Struthio camelus: one gene and its partner. The main gene of each other region encodes a partner of the protein of the gene in region 2 in a complex. Links are inferred from orthologs where the notes say so. Each region holds a gene or a part of one and is shown on either strand. Other genes may lie near its edges.

What was found.
Region 1: the proteins of POR (region 2) and HMOX1 are in contact, whole or in part, in a crystal structure (PDB 3WKT), measured with the Rattus norvegicus proteins. The link is inferred for Struthio camelus from reciprocal best matches to the Homo sapiens genes POR and HMOX1. Residues at the interface, in NP_113764.1 of Rattus norvegicus: Thr88, Thr177, Asp208, Asp209, Arg313, Arg514, Lys515, Gln517, Arg519, Leu520, Phe522, Lys523, His626, Lys665, Met667, Thr668, Lys669, Gly670, Tyr672; in NP_036712.1 of Rattus norvegicus: Asp12, Ser14, Glu15, Gln38, Ala75, Pro76, Glu81, Lys149, Ile150, Lys153, Ser171, Asp173, Asn174, Thr176, Lys177, Phe178, Lys179, Gln180, Leu181, Arg183, Ala184, Arg185, Asn187, Thr188.

What each region holds. Positions count from the first base shown.
Region 1 is NC_090942.1:59,832,840-59,840,499, reverse strand, and holds the start of HMOX1 (heme oxygenase 1), read left to right. Parts: upstream 1-4,403; 5' UTR 4,404-4,604; coding exon 4,605-4,636; intron 4,637-4,961; coding exon 4,962-5,082; intron 5,083-7,463; coding exon 7,464-7,660.
Region 2 is NC_090957.1:14,662,041-14,669,792, reverse strand, and holds the start of POR (NADPH--cytochrome P450 reductase), read left to right. Parts: upstream 1-4,746; 5' UTR 4,747-4,937; coding exon 4,938-5,016; intron 5,017-5,181; coding exon 5,182-5,374; intron 5,375-7,752. UniProt on the Homo sapiens protein: This enzyme is required for electron transfer from NADP to cytochrome P450 in microsomes. It can also provide electron transfer to heme oxygenase and cytochrome B5.

The DNA of each region.
Region 1 (7,660 bases), on a different chromosome or scaffold from region 2:
TAGTTCTAGCTAAGGCTTGCTCTCTTCTACCCCTCCCTCTGCACCTCAGAAACATACAGGCCATAAGCAGGCAGTGGAGTCTGTCATCACCAGCACTGAGGCTCTGCTGGGCACTGGGTGCTCTCCTCCACCATTTCAGCACAGTGCACTGATACCCTGGAGACCTGCTACAGGTTGTGTTTGTGCTCAGGGAGTTGCCTGCTCCTTGGGTCTCCAGTTAAAAAGCAAGCACGTACCTGGCAGAGTGTTTGCTCTATTTTTCCTTCTCGTCACTGCTCTGTTCTCAGCCTGCCCAGCAAGCCCAGAGCTCCCATCATAGCCATCGTCATGTTCTGGAGACACCTACACGCTGTGGTAAGCATATATTTATAAATGTATAAAATATGTGTATTATAATCTGTGCTTCCTGTTTCTGTCAAGATGGTTCATTTATGTCTGAGAAATTTACTGGCACCTTTGTCTCCACTGCATCTGTCTTTGGGGTTCCCGTATGCTGGGCTTGCCCAGAATAGCAGTGCTGTCTGTAGGACTCTTCTCTTTCAGAAGTGCCAAATATACCAGCAATGCCAGTTCAGAGGAATCATACAGTGCATTCATTCCCTATGGAATTTTTCAGTGCATTGTACTCACAATCTCCATTTTTCCACCTATATCTTTGATCTAGACTTAGATTGTTAAATGTTGACAGGAACAAGCACAATTTGTTCTGCCAGTACTACTGGGCTGGGCAATCTTCCTTTGGTAAACATGAATTAACCATAGCATAACACTGTATGCCCTAGTGGTGACTCCCTTCTTAAGAAAGCAATTTTAAGCAGATATCACGTCGTCCCTTTTTTTTTTTTTCCACTCTTGCTACACAGCAAGTTCTGAGTATTGAGTCAGCTTTTTCCCTCAAAACCATGAGGCTGCATTTTGCTGTGTCATGGTCTGCCAGATCCCCTTTAACCCTTTCTTGCCGGAAAAGACTAGTTTTTACCAGGTTGTTTTCTCTTCTTAGCCAAGCCTCGGCTGTGTGCCAGTCCCAAAATGTGAGAGAGTGCTTCCCACACACGTTCAGAGGAGTTGATTTCATGTTCTGTGACTGACTATATAGCTAGAAATTTCTGAAACTTCTCTACCCCGATGAAATCACGACTCCCCACTAACTTTACGATGTTATTAACTGCTCATCTAATGAATCTCTTGACTTAAACTTTGGCTCAGTGGCCAGGATATGCAATCAGAGGTTTCTAAGCCCAGCAGGGACTGCTGCAAATATCTTGTCTTGGGCTACTTGATTCATGTTTACTAGAAGTCTCCTGGGCAATTTCACTTGTTTCCATGCACATCACCTTCACATTAAATAACTCTGGCACCACCCAACAGCTGCTTTGTGAAAGAACAGGAGAACGGTATTACGGAATTTCTGGCAGGCAGGTGGAGAGACCACAGATCTGAGACCTTGATGCTGTCCAAGCAAAATTTACTAGTGATCTGGATCTGGACTGGCATCTGCCTTTTGAGTGGGGCACACTGTACACCTGACTGAGTTGTTCTAGGGGCCAGTTGTTCTTTCTGCTAAAAATATGCTCCTCCTTTCCAGTGCATCGTTCTTAAACGTCAACTTCCCATGTCGTCTTCTAGGAAGAGATGGTCACTCACAAATCTCTGACAGAACTTTGCCACTTTCTGTGTCCTTAACCTTCCCTCCACCACATAGCAACAGCACAGCAGAAGCAATACAATTCCTCGCTGCAGAGCAGTGGACAAGGCCAAAAATGCCCCAGGCCAGTGACTACAAAGATGATGACAGCACATTTTCAGTTCCTCTTCCATCTTGGCTGCTGAGCCCTTGGGCCTTTCTGGGGAGCTGGGCCCAGTCTATAACAGCTGCTCCCTGCCCTTCCATCAAGTAACCCTGATCAGCTAGAGATCAGAAGGTATAACTAAGTTATGGGACACGGCTTGTTCCCCTGCACATGTGGAAAAAATTCATCTGGAGAGGTAAGGTGCAGGAGGGAGATTATCTCTTATGACTGGCCCTGGAGAAGGTAAAGCCCCAACAGCCACCAGGGAGGTATGTTGGGGAGCACCTAGAGCAAAAACCTGGATTCCAGAACAGTGTGGTTACAAACCAGAACGTTTCCCAGGAAGAAGTATCCTATCTGGAATAGCAGTAATATGACTAAACAGCTCTCTCTCCTCCTCAGTCCATTTGCCTCATCCACATCTTGGCTACCTCAACCATGGATGAAAGGGAAGGAGGAGGAAGATGTCTTGGACAGATCTTTTAAAGCATCTCCAAGCATGCAACCTCTCGGGAGAAGGAAGGCTGGCAGGGCACAAAAGCACAGATCTGAGAGCAACTAGAAAACCTTTGCAAAGGAACTGGGCTCATTAACAGCTGCTGAACAGACATGAAGGGAGGGGCAGGGTTTGGGCTTGGGGTTTTCTGATCTCGACCAAGTATACCTCCCTCTACTGAAACTACAAGTTCAATTTGTGCTCCAGCTTCCCCTGTCAGATCAGGACTCACTGAAAAGAACTGAAAACTGCTTGTGAGCTTTAAGAGAGCAATGCAAGAGAGAAATGCTCATTTCAAGGACATCCCTGTGGCAAGATGGCATCAATGTCTGCAGGACAGAACGGCCATGCAGCCCTGCACTCCTGGGGGCTCCTGTGCAGAGCCCTCTGTCAGAGGGTGTTTGGGGCTTTGTCACACCTTCTGAAGAGATTCAGACATCCCAATGTATTTATTTTACCATACAGATAAAGCAAACAAGTCAGTAACAAGTTGTGTGCAATGGCATGGGGGAAGCGGGGAAAGCAAGCAACTTGTCACTTTTGCTAGCGTGTACTGTTGCTTTAAAGAAAGAATAAGACAGGAAAAGTCTGGCTGAGTCAGGGTGGAATTGCTGACTAATCCTTCCTGAGCTCCCCACACTGCAAACCAGATGTCTGCCTGAGTGAAAAAAACAAGCGTAGATGCACATTTCCTCCAGGACAGCTTTCTAACCTATGGCACCACAGCAAGCTACTGTTGGGGTAGCTGCAGTGACAGGGAGACAAGGCAGCTTGGGCTGCAGCGCCCATCAGCACAGTCTCAGATTGGACTCGCCAGGACAAAAGATACAGACAAAAGATAACTGTAGTTCTCCTCCCTCCTCCCCCTGCTTTGCCTCCCTACCACTTCATGCATGTAACACAGTGCTGTGTTACTGCAGCAGCGCTTTCTCACCTCTGCATTAGCAGGGGAATGCTGTTTTTAAGTGCCTTGGTATTTGGGTTGCACACAAAATTTGTGCTTTCTCAAAGCAGAGCTGGCTGATGCACCTTCAACCCTGGCTAGCCCTGCTTCCAGCACAGTTGGAAAACAAGGGCCCCACCATCCATTGGCTGCCTCATTAACCACTTCAACAGACAAAACAGTGGAGGAGCCAGCTACTGGCAGAACCAGCTTATCCAATTCTCTTTTCCCAAATCAGAGGAATTATTTGCATTTGAAAGTCTCTGCAGACTTCCCCAGAGTTTTCCCTAAATCCTACATCACATCTTTTCAGTCCTTCGTGCATACCGGCTACTGTAGTCTTCTGGGTATCTAAGAGATGGGGCGCTCTCCTTCCAAAATGCCCTGCACGCAGCTGTGACAACAGCAGGGGCCGTTTGCCATGCAAAGCAGCCGCTCTTGTTTCCATTCATAAGGGAGCAGAGGATGTCTCAGCGCATCGGTGCAGGCAAACCTGTGATGGCTCCACGCAAAGAGGAAGGATTTATTCACCAGGGTTCAGCTCTGTGCAGCTGTAGTTCTGCCACTTGCAGACTGGAGCTGGTGCGTGCCTATGCCACAGCACCCAGATTACTCACAACTGGTACAAAGCCCAGGGTCCCTGCTGTGCTCCTCACTGTGGAGCGGGCATGCTCCTAATCTGTAGGGCAGAGCTCCCCACCCCATGGCCAGTAAGCACTAGGTTACCTGAGGGGACTCTCTGACAATGTTCCTGGCCACAGGAAATTAAACATTTACACCTGAGTCTTGACAGAGACTAGGACAGATGCTGTATTAGCTCCCCAGGTGGGGTGCAGCTGGCACACAGATTGGGGGAAAAGGCTGTGGGGAGAGGAGTTGCCCACCCTGCCCCATCACATTTGACCATGGCACTAACCAGTAAATCCACCCCTCTACCCAACACCGCTGCCCCCAGCACAGTGACCACTGCTTGTAGCACCTGGGCTCTGCCTGCCATCGGCACTGTGCTGAAAGGGTTACCAAGCCAGGCAATCTTGAAAAAGAAGTTGTTCAACATCCTCTTATTTGTGCTTAGTTGTCAAGAGGAATCAGGTGACTTCCTTCTGCCGTCCAAGTCTGGTCCCTCAGGGCAGCAGGCAAGGAAAGGGTGACAGCAACGCTGGGAAGGGAAGCACAGTTGTGTTGCAAGAAGTTTGTACTCACACTGAGGTCAGCAGTTGGGCTGCTCACGTGACCTGGCCAGTATAAAGCTCGATGCAGGAGCCAGGCTGCCCAGCTCAAACGCTTCGCAGTGTCCTGGGAGCAGAAGGGAAGGAAGAAAGCAAGGGCAAGAAAAATCAACAGGGACACAGAGGAGAAAACGAAGTGGAGAAACATGGATACTTCCCAGACACACAGCTCTGAAAGGTGAGAGCAGGACTGGAATGAGAGGGAAATTTCCAGCCAAGAGAGTATCATATTTTTCCCCTTGCTTTTAGGTGTACTGTTCCTGTTTCTGCTCTGCAGGGAACAGCATGCTCTTTCTTTCCCCTCTGGATGGAGCCTAACAGTTTTACTTCCCCTTGGACAGCGTGTGAGATACTAGCGCTCCCTTGATCCCATCCGTGGCTCTCGGGAGTGCTCTGCTTCTTTCCCTGCCTTCCCAGGCTTCCCTCTTTTTGCTAGAGAGCTAAGATCCATTTTGCAGGAGGAAAGTGACAGCACCAATATCTCTTTTGCTTCTTTTCCCCAGCATGTCACGGGACCTGTCAGAACTCATGAAGGAAGCCACCAAGGAGGTGCACGAGCAGGCAGAGAATACACTCTTCATGAAAAATTTCCAGAAGGGGCAGGTGTCACTCCATGAATTTAAGGTACTTGCAGTAGTATTGGGTGGGGATGGGATTTCCTTGTCATGGAATACACTTGTAGATCAGATAGGCTATGCGGGGACTAAAGGTTGAGGGGTGAAGGAAGCCCTTTGCATCACAGCAGTCTAGTATCAGCATCTCCTGTGCAAAACATGCTCTTAATCAAATTTTAGCACTCTTAAGACTTTACAGGCTCCTCCTTCAGAACGTGAGGCAGGATTGTATCTTTCTGGATAGGCAATCAAGCTGAAACAGGATAAAAAGGCAACGAGATTGTAATTGCTTTTATCTTTCCTTATAAATGCCTGCATGTTAATTATGGCCAATGAGAGTTAATGGAGATACAACTATGTGCAGGTGTATGAGTGATTAAAATGGCAACAAGAAAGGAGAATACTTTAGAATGCTTTAGGCGGTTACAGCTAGAAATAATGATGGAATAATGAGAAATGTGGGATCATTTTTGGCACTGAACCTTGCAGAGTTGTAGTTATCACTTGAGTTATACCAGAGCTGCGATCAGGAGCAATTACTCGAGGCAGAGTAAGTTTGAGCAAGCCATGTCTGTTCATGTAGGAGCCTGTTGCTTTTCTTAAGATATAACAGAATCATTTGCGGTTACGGAGTCTGTGTCTAATCTGGCTAGTTAATGTGACCTGAGCCACGTAACAAAGCCATGTGTAAAAACAAGGCAGGCATATGAGCTAGAAATTCCTGGGAGGTTAGAGGATGTGACACAGGGGTTCCAAATAACAGCTAGTAAGCTGAGCTGTGGCTTAATGACTTTATTTTTGAATTGCTCCTTGATAAATACATCCATAGGAGTAGGGAAAAAGAGTACTTATTTCTGATAGTTCACATTCATGACACGCAGTCAAGCATACTGTTAATCTCAGGTGCTGACCTCCTCCTGTTAGAAATGTGGCATTTGTTAGGCAATGAACTTTGAGACAGGCTAGCGATAACCTAAAAAGTCAAGCCTCTAAGATCCTGGAATACAGCTTAGTTTCTTAGAAAATTCTTAGTTTCTTAGAAGTTTCTTAGGCTTCAGGAGGAACGAGATGTGATGCTGGATTTTAAAAAGTAAGATGATGATTTTCAAAAGCTACTTTTCTCAGTAAACTACTATCTCTGATAGCAATAGTCAGATTAAATCCTTTAATTTGTTAGGCAATATTCCTGTATTTTATTTCTTTTCCAGTAAACTAGATGACAAGTTATTGTTTAAAAGCTCCTTTTGTTTAACCTCTTGGCAAACCTATATATCTGCCCTGAAACATGACTCCATAAAATTTGAGTATCTGTTTCTGCAATCAAGTCACTGCCTGTCTGCATATCAAAGTCCTATTTGCTGACATAGTGGGGAAAAGTTGAAATGGCAACTCTTCTACTGCTAGAACTAATAGCTTTGTGGGAGAATAAACCACTTTTGCTCCTATCAGCAGTATAATTTCCCCCTCAAGCCTGACTCACCTGTGCTGCAGGGCCTTCACGTTTTACCCTTTGCTGCTGATGAGGGATTTCAGTGTAAGCAAGAGGTGGTGTACATATAAATACGTATATAGCTTTTAAGAGCAGAATGTCCAGCAAAGGAAAGAACACAGCTAGATTGTCTTATGCTATGTGGAAAGGCTGGCAGATATAAAAAAAGTATCGTGTAAGCTGGGAAAAACAACAATAACAACAGTCTGAAAATAGTAATGAACACACAGCCTCGCAGTGATCTTTCGCAAAGGCATCTTTCAGAGGCAAGCTGTGCTTTCAGTCCCCTTTGTATCTTATCTCCTTGGGGCAACCACAGGGAAACAAAGAGGCAACCCTACTTACAAATCTGAATGAAGAGAGCAGTGGTGCCTCAATTCCCAGGACGGTAGACTGCCAACAGGATAAATAGGCTGTACAGTAAACAGGGTGTGTCATTGTCTCATAAGGCCCCACAGAGGAAAGGCACATCTTGAAGCATTCAGATTTGAACAATACACCAGAAAATATACCTTTGGGAATAATCTCTCTATTGACTAGGGGGAATGAAGGGAATAGACTAGGTATGATTTAATAGGGCTCCATTTTCTATAATATCAAGCTGCCAGAACCTTAACTTGAAGGTGAAGACAGCAGCTTTTATGGACAGGTAAGACCAACATCTGTTGAGAATAACTTAGGTCTCAGCTGATGCTGCCTCAAGCAGAAGGGGAAGGGCTAGAGGATGTCTCACTGTCCCTTCCAACTCTGCTTTCCATATGTGAAATCTACAACAATATAACATATTTGCATGATTCATACTGGGTGTGCATATGAGTAACGTTTTTTGTTAGTGGGATTTGTCCCAAAAGCTGGAAGACAGACAGATGCACCTGTATCTCATACCCTCCCTTCTGTTTCAGCTGGTTACTGCCTCCCTGTATTTCATCTACTCTGCTCTGGAGGAAGAGATCGAACGTAATAAGGACAACCCAGTTTATGCCCCTGTTTATTTTCCGGTGGAGCTGCACCGGAAAGCTGCCTTGGAGAAAGACTTGGAGTACTTCTATGGCAGCAATTGGAGGGAAGAGATCCCATGTCCTGAGGCTACTCAGAAATA
Region 2 (7,752 bases):
CATTGAAAGACTCAGAAGCTGTGCTTAAAAAGTACAGCATTGCCTGATGGCAATCTTTCATAGTGTTATGACTTTTCTGTGCAACATATATGCCTCACATTTCATCTGAAACTGATTGATTGCTTTTTCAGCAGATACTGTGTGCATAAACAAGGATCAGGAACTGGAACCATGATACAAAAAAAAAGTGAGGAAAATGCAGTGCTTGTCTTATCTTGATTGAAGGTACAACAAACACTGGGGATAAAGTAACTACTTGTGTTAGGGATTTTCCACTTCTGCCTCATACATTTTTTTTTCCTTTTTTAAAAACAAGCTAACTGGTTCTATAAAGGTCCTTCCAGAGACTGCAGGATTTCATAGCTAAATTCTAAATAAGAGTCAGGTTACCCTTCACTGGCAGTTGGAGAAGGATATGCAGTTGAAAATGAATTGCTTTGAAAGTCTGGAAAGTAATTGTTACAGCCAACTAGGTAAGATTGAGATGAATTGAGGAATAATCTTACCGTGCTAGCTGAAGTGAGTTAGAGAAGGAGTTTCTGGGTTATAACAACCTTTTAAAATTGATGTGTGGAATCTAATTCCACATACTTTGCATTTCTTTTGCTACATGTAAGCAAATCCTTTCTAAGGGAGGGGACATAGTGAAGGGAGAGAAAAAACAAAAACCTGTAACTAGGTTATAGGACTCTGATAACTGAATCATAATGTCCAGGACCAGATGGAGGCGATCATCCAAACTGAAGCAGTCTTGTGACTTTGATTCCATCTCTAGAGGATGACTGTTTCCTTCTGGGGTTAGAGGGCCGTGTGTGACCTTTATGCTGTGGAGATTTGTGAATGCAGAGTGGAGGCTTTGATTCCCCCTTGCTAAAACAAGGCTCTTTGGTCTGAGCGCTGGACTTATAAGCGTCTAGAAATGGCGCTCTTCCCTCTGGCGATGGGGTTGGGCATGCGAGCGGGTGGTCCAGCTGTTGCAGCAGCTGTAGGGTTCCCCTTGAAGCGCCAGGGGGTTGCAGTGCGGTGAAGGCCAGGAGATAGGGTGTCTTTCTTCCCCCCCCCCCCGTGTCTGTCCATGCTGCATTCCTGAAACGCTGCCTCCTGAGGATGCCTCCTGCCAAGGTACTGCTCTGTTCCTCAACTGCCTCGGAGAGCAAACTACCTCTGGGAGGTCTGAAAAAGCAAAACGCCTCACGTTTGCTGTCTGTCTCCTCTGCTGTGGGAGGCCAGAAGCTCTGCTCCTTTGGACGTGGCAATGAATTGCTGCTGGAGATGTCCTGGCCTTGCTGATTAGCCCATGAACTTGTTCTCTTGCAAGGGAAGTTGGCTAATATCCATAGCTGAGCTATCTGGAGCTAGGAGGTGAGTTGCTGTGAGGCCAGGCATAAGCAGCCTGCATGTTCCACCCCACAGCTGGCAGCTGCTTGTGAAGATGCCTAGCTTGAAACTCTCCTCCACATGCGGCTTGTTACAAGGAAGTGCTGTTGCGCTCTATGCAAGGAAGCTTTTCTAGGACTCGGCTGCTGCAAGTGCCGGATTTGGTGCTCAGAAGGAGGAGGTGGTGGGAAGGGGATTGAATTGAGTGCAGCTCCTGTCCAAAACCGGCTCAGGCTGGTTGCTATCAGCCTTGTTTGTTCAAGGCTTCCTCTGAGCAAAGGCTTATCATGGCCTTGTGCTGTCACCCGCACCATGAGTGTAATATTCATGTCTGAATTATGTAGGGTAGAATCTTGAGGCTGGTTGTAGATTAAACTGCTAAGGCAATCTCTCCTCTCTGTTTTGGATCTGCTGTTCTCTAAGACCTTCTCCTTGCTGCTCCATTGGATTCTCCGCTAAAAGGCAATGCTGACATCCTTATCCCAGAGCAGAAATTCTAGTGTGGCTTGTGCCACGAGAAAGGTACCGTCAAGGAGAGCTGATACAAGACTGGCACTATTACTTGAACCCAGCCTTCAGGATAAACTTCCTGGTGTTTGTCACTGCTTGGTTTGAGTGAAACTGGCCACCCTAGTGTATTTTGGGCAAAGGAAGAGACTTGGGCTGGCATTGAAAAAATACCCCTTGCAGTGTTGGAGATGTTTATCCAGACAGCCTGCTGCTTATGTTTGGGCCCTGCTTTCTCCACCTCCTCTTGCAAAAAAATTGGGGCTGTCCTGTGTATTATGCAGTAACCAAGGTTCCCTAGGGGAGACTTTAGTCAGCAGCACTCGGGTTGCTTGCTGTAAGACGAAGAGTAACTGAAGTGGTGAGCGAGACTGCAAGAACCAAAACTGTACTTGAAGATGGGCTGCCTGGAGGTCTGTGCCTGAAGTCTTCCTACAGATGAGATGGGGTGGCATCAAGGAGGGAGGAGAAGAGTGTTCCCTTGGTGTTAGTTGCTGACCAGCTCCTCAGTGATTTACTGAAACCAAATGCGGAGGAGGAGAGGGACTCTGCTGTGGGCTTTGCGTTATTGGCAATTAAGCTGTGTGGAGGCTTTACCAAACAGTTTAGTCTACAGCTGTGCAGAAATAATGCCCAGCTCTTGCTTGGCTCTGAGATCCAACAGCAGAAAGCCTGTCTGCAAGGAAGGGAGAACAGGGTGACCTGACTGTTGTACAAGGAAACGGGTATCTTGGTGTTCAGCAACAGCAAGGCGCTATCAGCAAGGCACCTTACTGTTAGTCATATCACTAACGCTGTCTTCCAAATTGTAACTGAGTGTCGTCTCTGGGAACTGAAACGGCAAATGAGGAGCTCTGTTGTGGTGGCATAGTGCCTTTCGTAGCACGGTTGCTTGCCAAGTTCTTTGCTGAATGAAACTTTGTGGGGCTGAGATCTGTCTGGGCTGCAGAAATACTCGAGAGCCCACCTGTGGCCGTTGCCAGATGGCTCTGGGTTTCTCCCTGTGCTCTGCAGAAGGGCTACCTTATACCTGGTGTTGGTAACCCAATAGCACAGTACTTAGGTTTTCAGGAGTTGAGCTTTTCCTTGGTAGGAGCAGCAGCAAGCAGATAACCTGGGCAAGAGAGAGGAATAAAACCACAGCTGCTGCATGAATTAATTTAGGAGAAAATGAGGAGCTGTAGTGAAGACCTAGATTTCAGCTGCACAAACTGCCATGAGCTGAGAGCTATTGAATATTACCTGATCTTGAATTCCACCTGGGCAAGATGCCCCACAGCAACTGCTGCCCTGGGTTGTGATGTTGCAAGTTAGGAATTCTTTGGCATGCCTGGTATTCTAAGCGGTCTGGGATCGGCTTCTCAGTGTTTGGCTCTGCAGTCCTGGTCCAGCCCCTGGCTCGCCTGGCAATGGGGGGCTCTGCTCTTGCGAACAGTGTGGCCTAAAGGAGAGTCTGTTCCTTCTGCTCTCTCCAAACCCTGAGCCAGAGGGAGGTCTGCGAGATGCTTCTGGAGGGCAGCTGCAGGAATTAACGTTCCTGGCTTGTCTGGATACTAAAAATCACAAGCTCAGAGGCAGTAACTTTACTGATGTTTTTCCTCTCCGTTTGCCCTCTCCTTCTGAGAGCTGGCTCTTCCCCTGCAGCCCATGTGGGCTTAAAGACCTTACTGAGTCTCTCTCGTTAGCACTCCCTTCTGCTCTGTAAGCATCGCCTTCCCTTTTCTTCCAGATTCCTGAATGCATTAACATGATCTTAAACTTCAAGAAGTTTTTCTAAGCCCAGGCATAGCTTGAAGTTTGCTTTTCTTTGAGCCCCCATCGGAAAGCTGTCCAGAAGCTTTTCTCTGGCCAGCACCAGTGTGCTGAACACGTTAGCTCCCCTCTTGCTGCTCTGCTACATGGTATGTCCTTCTTCTAGAATAGCACTTCCACAGCTCTGAGTCATTTTTTTGTGTACGAGTTCAAATGTCCATGGTCTCCTGCTTTGGCCGGATGCCCAAGTACAAGGAAAGAGTCACTTTGCCCTTATGAATCAAGTTTTGAGTTAATTATCTGTTTGCTTGGACAGAGCATGTCCTTGCATGTTGTGAAGATAAACTTCTAATCTGGATTGTGGTCAGAAGAGTTCAGAGCTTTGGCAAAGGAGCTGAAAGGGAGGGAGCGATGGGTGGCTCCTGAGGGGAAGGGCAGGGTCACGGGGCTACTATATGACTTGAGAGGGCCAGGCGTGAGTCTTTGCTTTATCGCAGACGATGGGTATGGCCACGGGCAAATCATTTGAACTCTGCCTTGGTTTCCCCCTGATGAATTGCAGCTAAAGTGTTGCCCTGCCTTGTGGGGCTGCTGTGAAAGTATGTCTGAACAAACGACATCACTGGTTGGGTCTGTGCAGGGAACTTGTTTGACTGTGAGAGTGCTTAGTCCTTCCAGGCTGGTGTGCGTGAGTAAAAAATGAGAAACAACCTGGAAGCGCTTTCTGAGGTGACAGTTGCCATTTTGAGATCTACTCTTCAGGAGTTTATCTTCATGTCTCTTATGATGTGGAAGAAATGGAGAATGGGAGGCAATAGTGAACCAATTAAATTAAAAGTGAACTATGCACGTATACCAGCAAGGGGTATTCAAGGGGACAGAGGTTAAACTAGGGAAGGGTGTGGAAGGGGTGTGGTGGGGGGTAGGAGGCAATAGTAAATCGGATATATTTGCAGTTTGTTGTTGTGACAGCCTAATGTGGGGATACTCACCATGCCGCAGTGTGGGGGGTGCACAATCCTCCTCCGCAGCTTATGACCACAGCAGTAAGTGTGGGGTGCTGTATCGCCTCATAGACTGGAGAAGGAAAGCCACTGATCTGTGTGAGGAGCGGCAGGAAGAATGGCCTCTGCCCCTTCTAACGCCCTGAGGAATTCATGATGGGTCAGGGCCCTCTAAAAGCTCCCTTTGAGTCCTGCTGAGTTTCGCCAGAGGTGCGGGTAGAAGGTGGATCGGGCTCCCTGGTTGGAAGGAGGGGCTGTTCAGATGGTGCGAGCTAGGCAGAGCAGAAATCACTTCTGATGGATCAGCATGGATGCAATGGGACGGGAGAAGCTTGGTGGGACAGTGCGACACCTCAGGGCATGGAAGGATCTCGCAGTATGTGGTGAAAGTCCTTCTTGAAAATACTGGGAGCTGTTGGGCTCACTTGTGCTCCTAGGATAAACTTACAGCGTAAAGGGTCTGGTCTGAAGGTCCCTTAGTGCTCTTTTGAACTTCTGTGACTTTTTGTGACTGCTAGCATTCACTTACTTTTCTTTGCAGGTTCTCTGACCGTCATGGGGGATGCTGGCATGCAACCAACTGTTTCTGCTCCAGAGAGCCCTGCCCAGCAAGACCCTCTCTTCAGCATGACTGACGTGTTTCTCATCTCACTTATCACTGGGCTTTTTACTTACTGGTTCTTCTTCCGCAAGAAAAAGGAAGAAATCCCTGAGCTCCCCAAAATCCAATCAGTGTAAGTAACAGCTTTGAAGCAATGTGGAATGAGGGTGACTTTCAGTCTTGCTCATCTGACCACAAAGTTGCTCTTGCTTTTCCTGTGCTATTCAGGCTTCCTAGAGTGCTGGTACTGGCTCATTCCTCCCTGGGGCTGGGATCACAGGCTCCTGGGAGGAGGAGAGCTGGTTTCCATCTCTGAGTATTTAGATGGTACTTCTATAACTGGCCTTTCACTCTGCATCTGTGCACAATGCAGCACTTAACTCGTTAGTAGTTTTCTTGCCTTGCCATTCGAGAAATTACTTTAACCCTTCCCAAGAGATGGATGACACTTGCAGGTGCTGGTGTGAATTTAAAGACTTCCTCCTGCCTGAGACTTTGTGCTGCTGGTGGGTCCTTGGAGGCTCCAGGAAGAGAATCAGCCATGTGGGAGGGAGCTGTGCAGGGCCTGGGACGTAGGGGTGGCTTAGCTGGATGGTGTTCCATGTGCCAGGGAAGGTCACTGTGAGGTCTTGCTGCAGGATAATCTAGGGAAATCATTAACAGACGTAGTTAGATGACTGCGTCCTGTGATGTGGCTTTACTGGTGCCATCCAGCCTCGATTCTGTGAAGATCAGTGGTATTGGTGCTGTGCTTGCTTACCGGGTGGGGGGACTTAGTCCCAAAGTGCATTTCTCCCCCGTCGTGTTTCTTTTGAACTGCTTGTTTACCTTGCAATGCAGAAATCCCTGTGGAAGAGCTGGGCTGCAGTTCTACCTTACCTCACGCCTTGACTCAAATTATTAATTTGCCTTCCCCAAACAAGGCAAGCAAAGGCTCTAAAAGCCCCTGACTGTACTTCAAAATGCTTAGGGATTGCTTTGGCTGGTAAAAGTCGTGTTTAATAAACCTGGACAAAGGTAGATTTGCTGTTAAGCAGATTTCCCGTCTAGGAATCTTATCTACACTTAGCTATGAAGAGAAGAAATAATGCTTCGGGAGCCAGAAAGCAATTCCTGGGCATGAGCAGCTCTTGTGAAACATGCTCGACTTTGCCAGGTCTCTGTAGCAGCAAGAGGTTGGATTTGGTGATGGGAGAGGTCCGTGTTTCTACCCTGTCTTCTGCCAAGCAATTGGAGCCAGGAATGAGCAGCGCTGGCAGAGATTTAGGTGTGCTCAGTTCCTTGTCTCAGGCCCATACCGAATTTCACATCAGTTTTCTGCTGTGCTTTTTAGGAGCGTTCCTTGTATTTCCTACTGTAGCAATGTGCCTTGCATTGTTAAGAACACTAAACTGAGGTTTGAATCCCCCTTAAGCTGGAGGGGGAGCTGGCTTTGCGCGTTCTCTCTCCTGCCAGTATGCTGGGATCTGTTCCCTGTGCAGATGAAACTTCCCTCAGATAGAAGGCCATCCTGGTGCCTGACTCACAGCTACTTCAGCCTTAGCCCAGCTCCTCACGCTCACAGTATTAGGCCTTTACAGTAGTAACTGCATCCAAGGTGAATCCTCTGTATTTGTAACACAGAGTGCAAATTTGCTGTAGATCCCTGCTTGTCCTGAAGGTATTGGTGGTTTGGCCATGAAGTGTAGAGGGGAAACAAAGGGGAGAACTGATGGCTGGCTCCTCCCAATGTGTTCACGATTTTACATTCTGTTGCACCTGCAAGGCATCCTGCATGAAGTGGCTTTCTCCATGTGGCAGAGCAGTACCCACTAAGAAATGTCAAGAAGTACTTCTGCTCAGCCCTTCATTTCAAAGTGTTTACTCAAGAATGCAAGGGTTACAGCCCGGTGTGGAAAGAAGCTGTGGCAGGAAATGTTCGTAGACTGGTCAGATGAGGATACTTGGTCACGGGCCAAGGTATTTCAGCATGGGATCAATGCTTCTGTTACCCTGTGTGTAAAAGCAAGTTAAATCAAACACAGCAAGTTGTTGTGGGTCTGTTACCTGTTCTCAGACTTGTGTATCTACCTTAGTGCGTTAGGCTGCTTTCAGTTATCTGGGCTCGTCCTCTGATGTTGTGTCATTAGGTCATAATTGAGAAGGAGCAGATTTGGTCTCATCTTCTTTCTTACTGATCGTAACTCTCTCCTCTGACAACGGGACAGAGCCCTCTGTTCGAAGGCAAGACTGGGATTCCAGGTCTGTTGTGAAATCCCTGGATAAGGGGAAGAGTAGCACGCAGCTCAGTGCAAACAGCCTGCCGTGAAGCAGGCTGTGCACACTGGTATCGCGGGAGGACAGAAAGTACATTTTCTGGCTGGGGGCTGTTTAAAAGGAAGAAATGTCCCTGGCTGCAGTATCCTGTGGCAGAATTCCTGTGTCCAAGCTGACAGTAGCCTCGCTGTCCATCTGTTCTTCTCTGCCTTATCTGGGGAATTTGATTTGTTGAGTCAATCAAATACTCCCCCT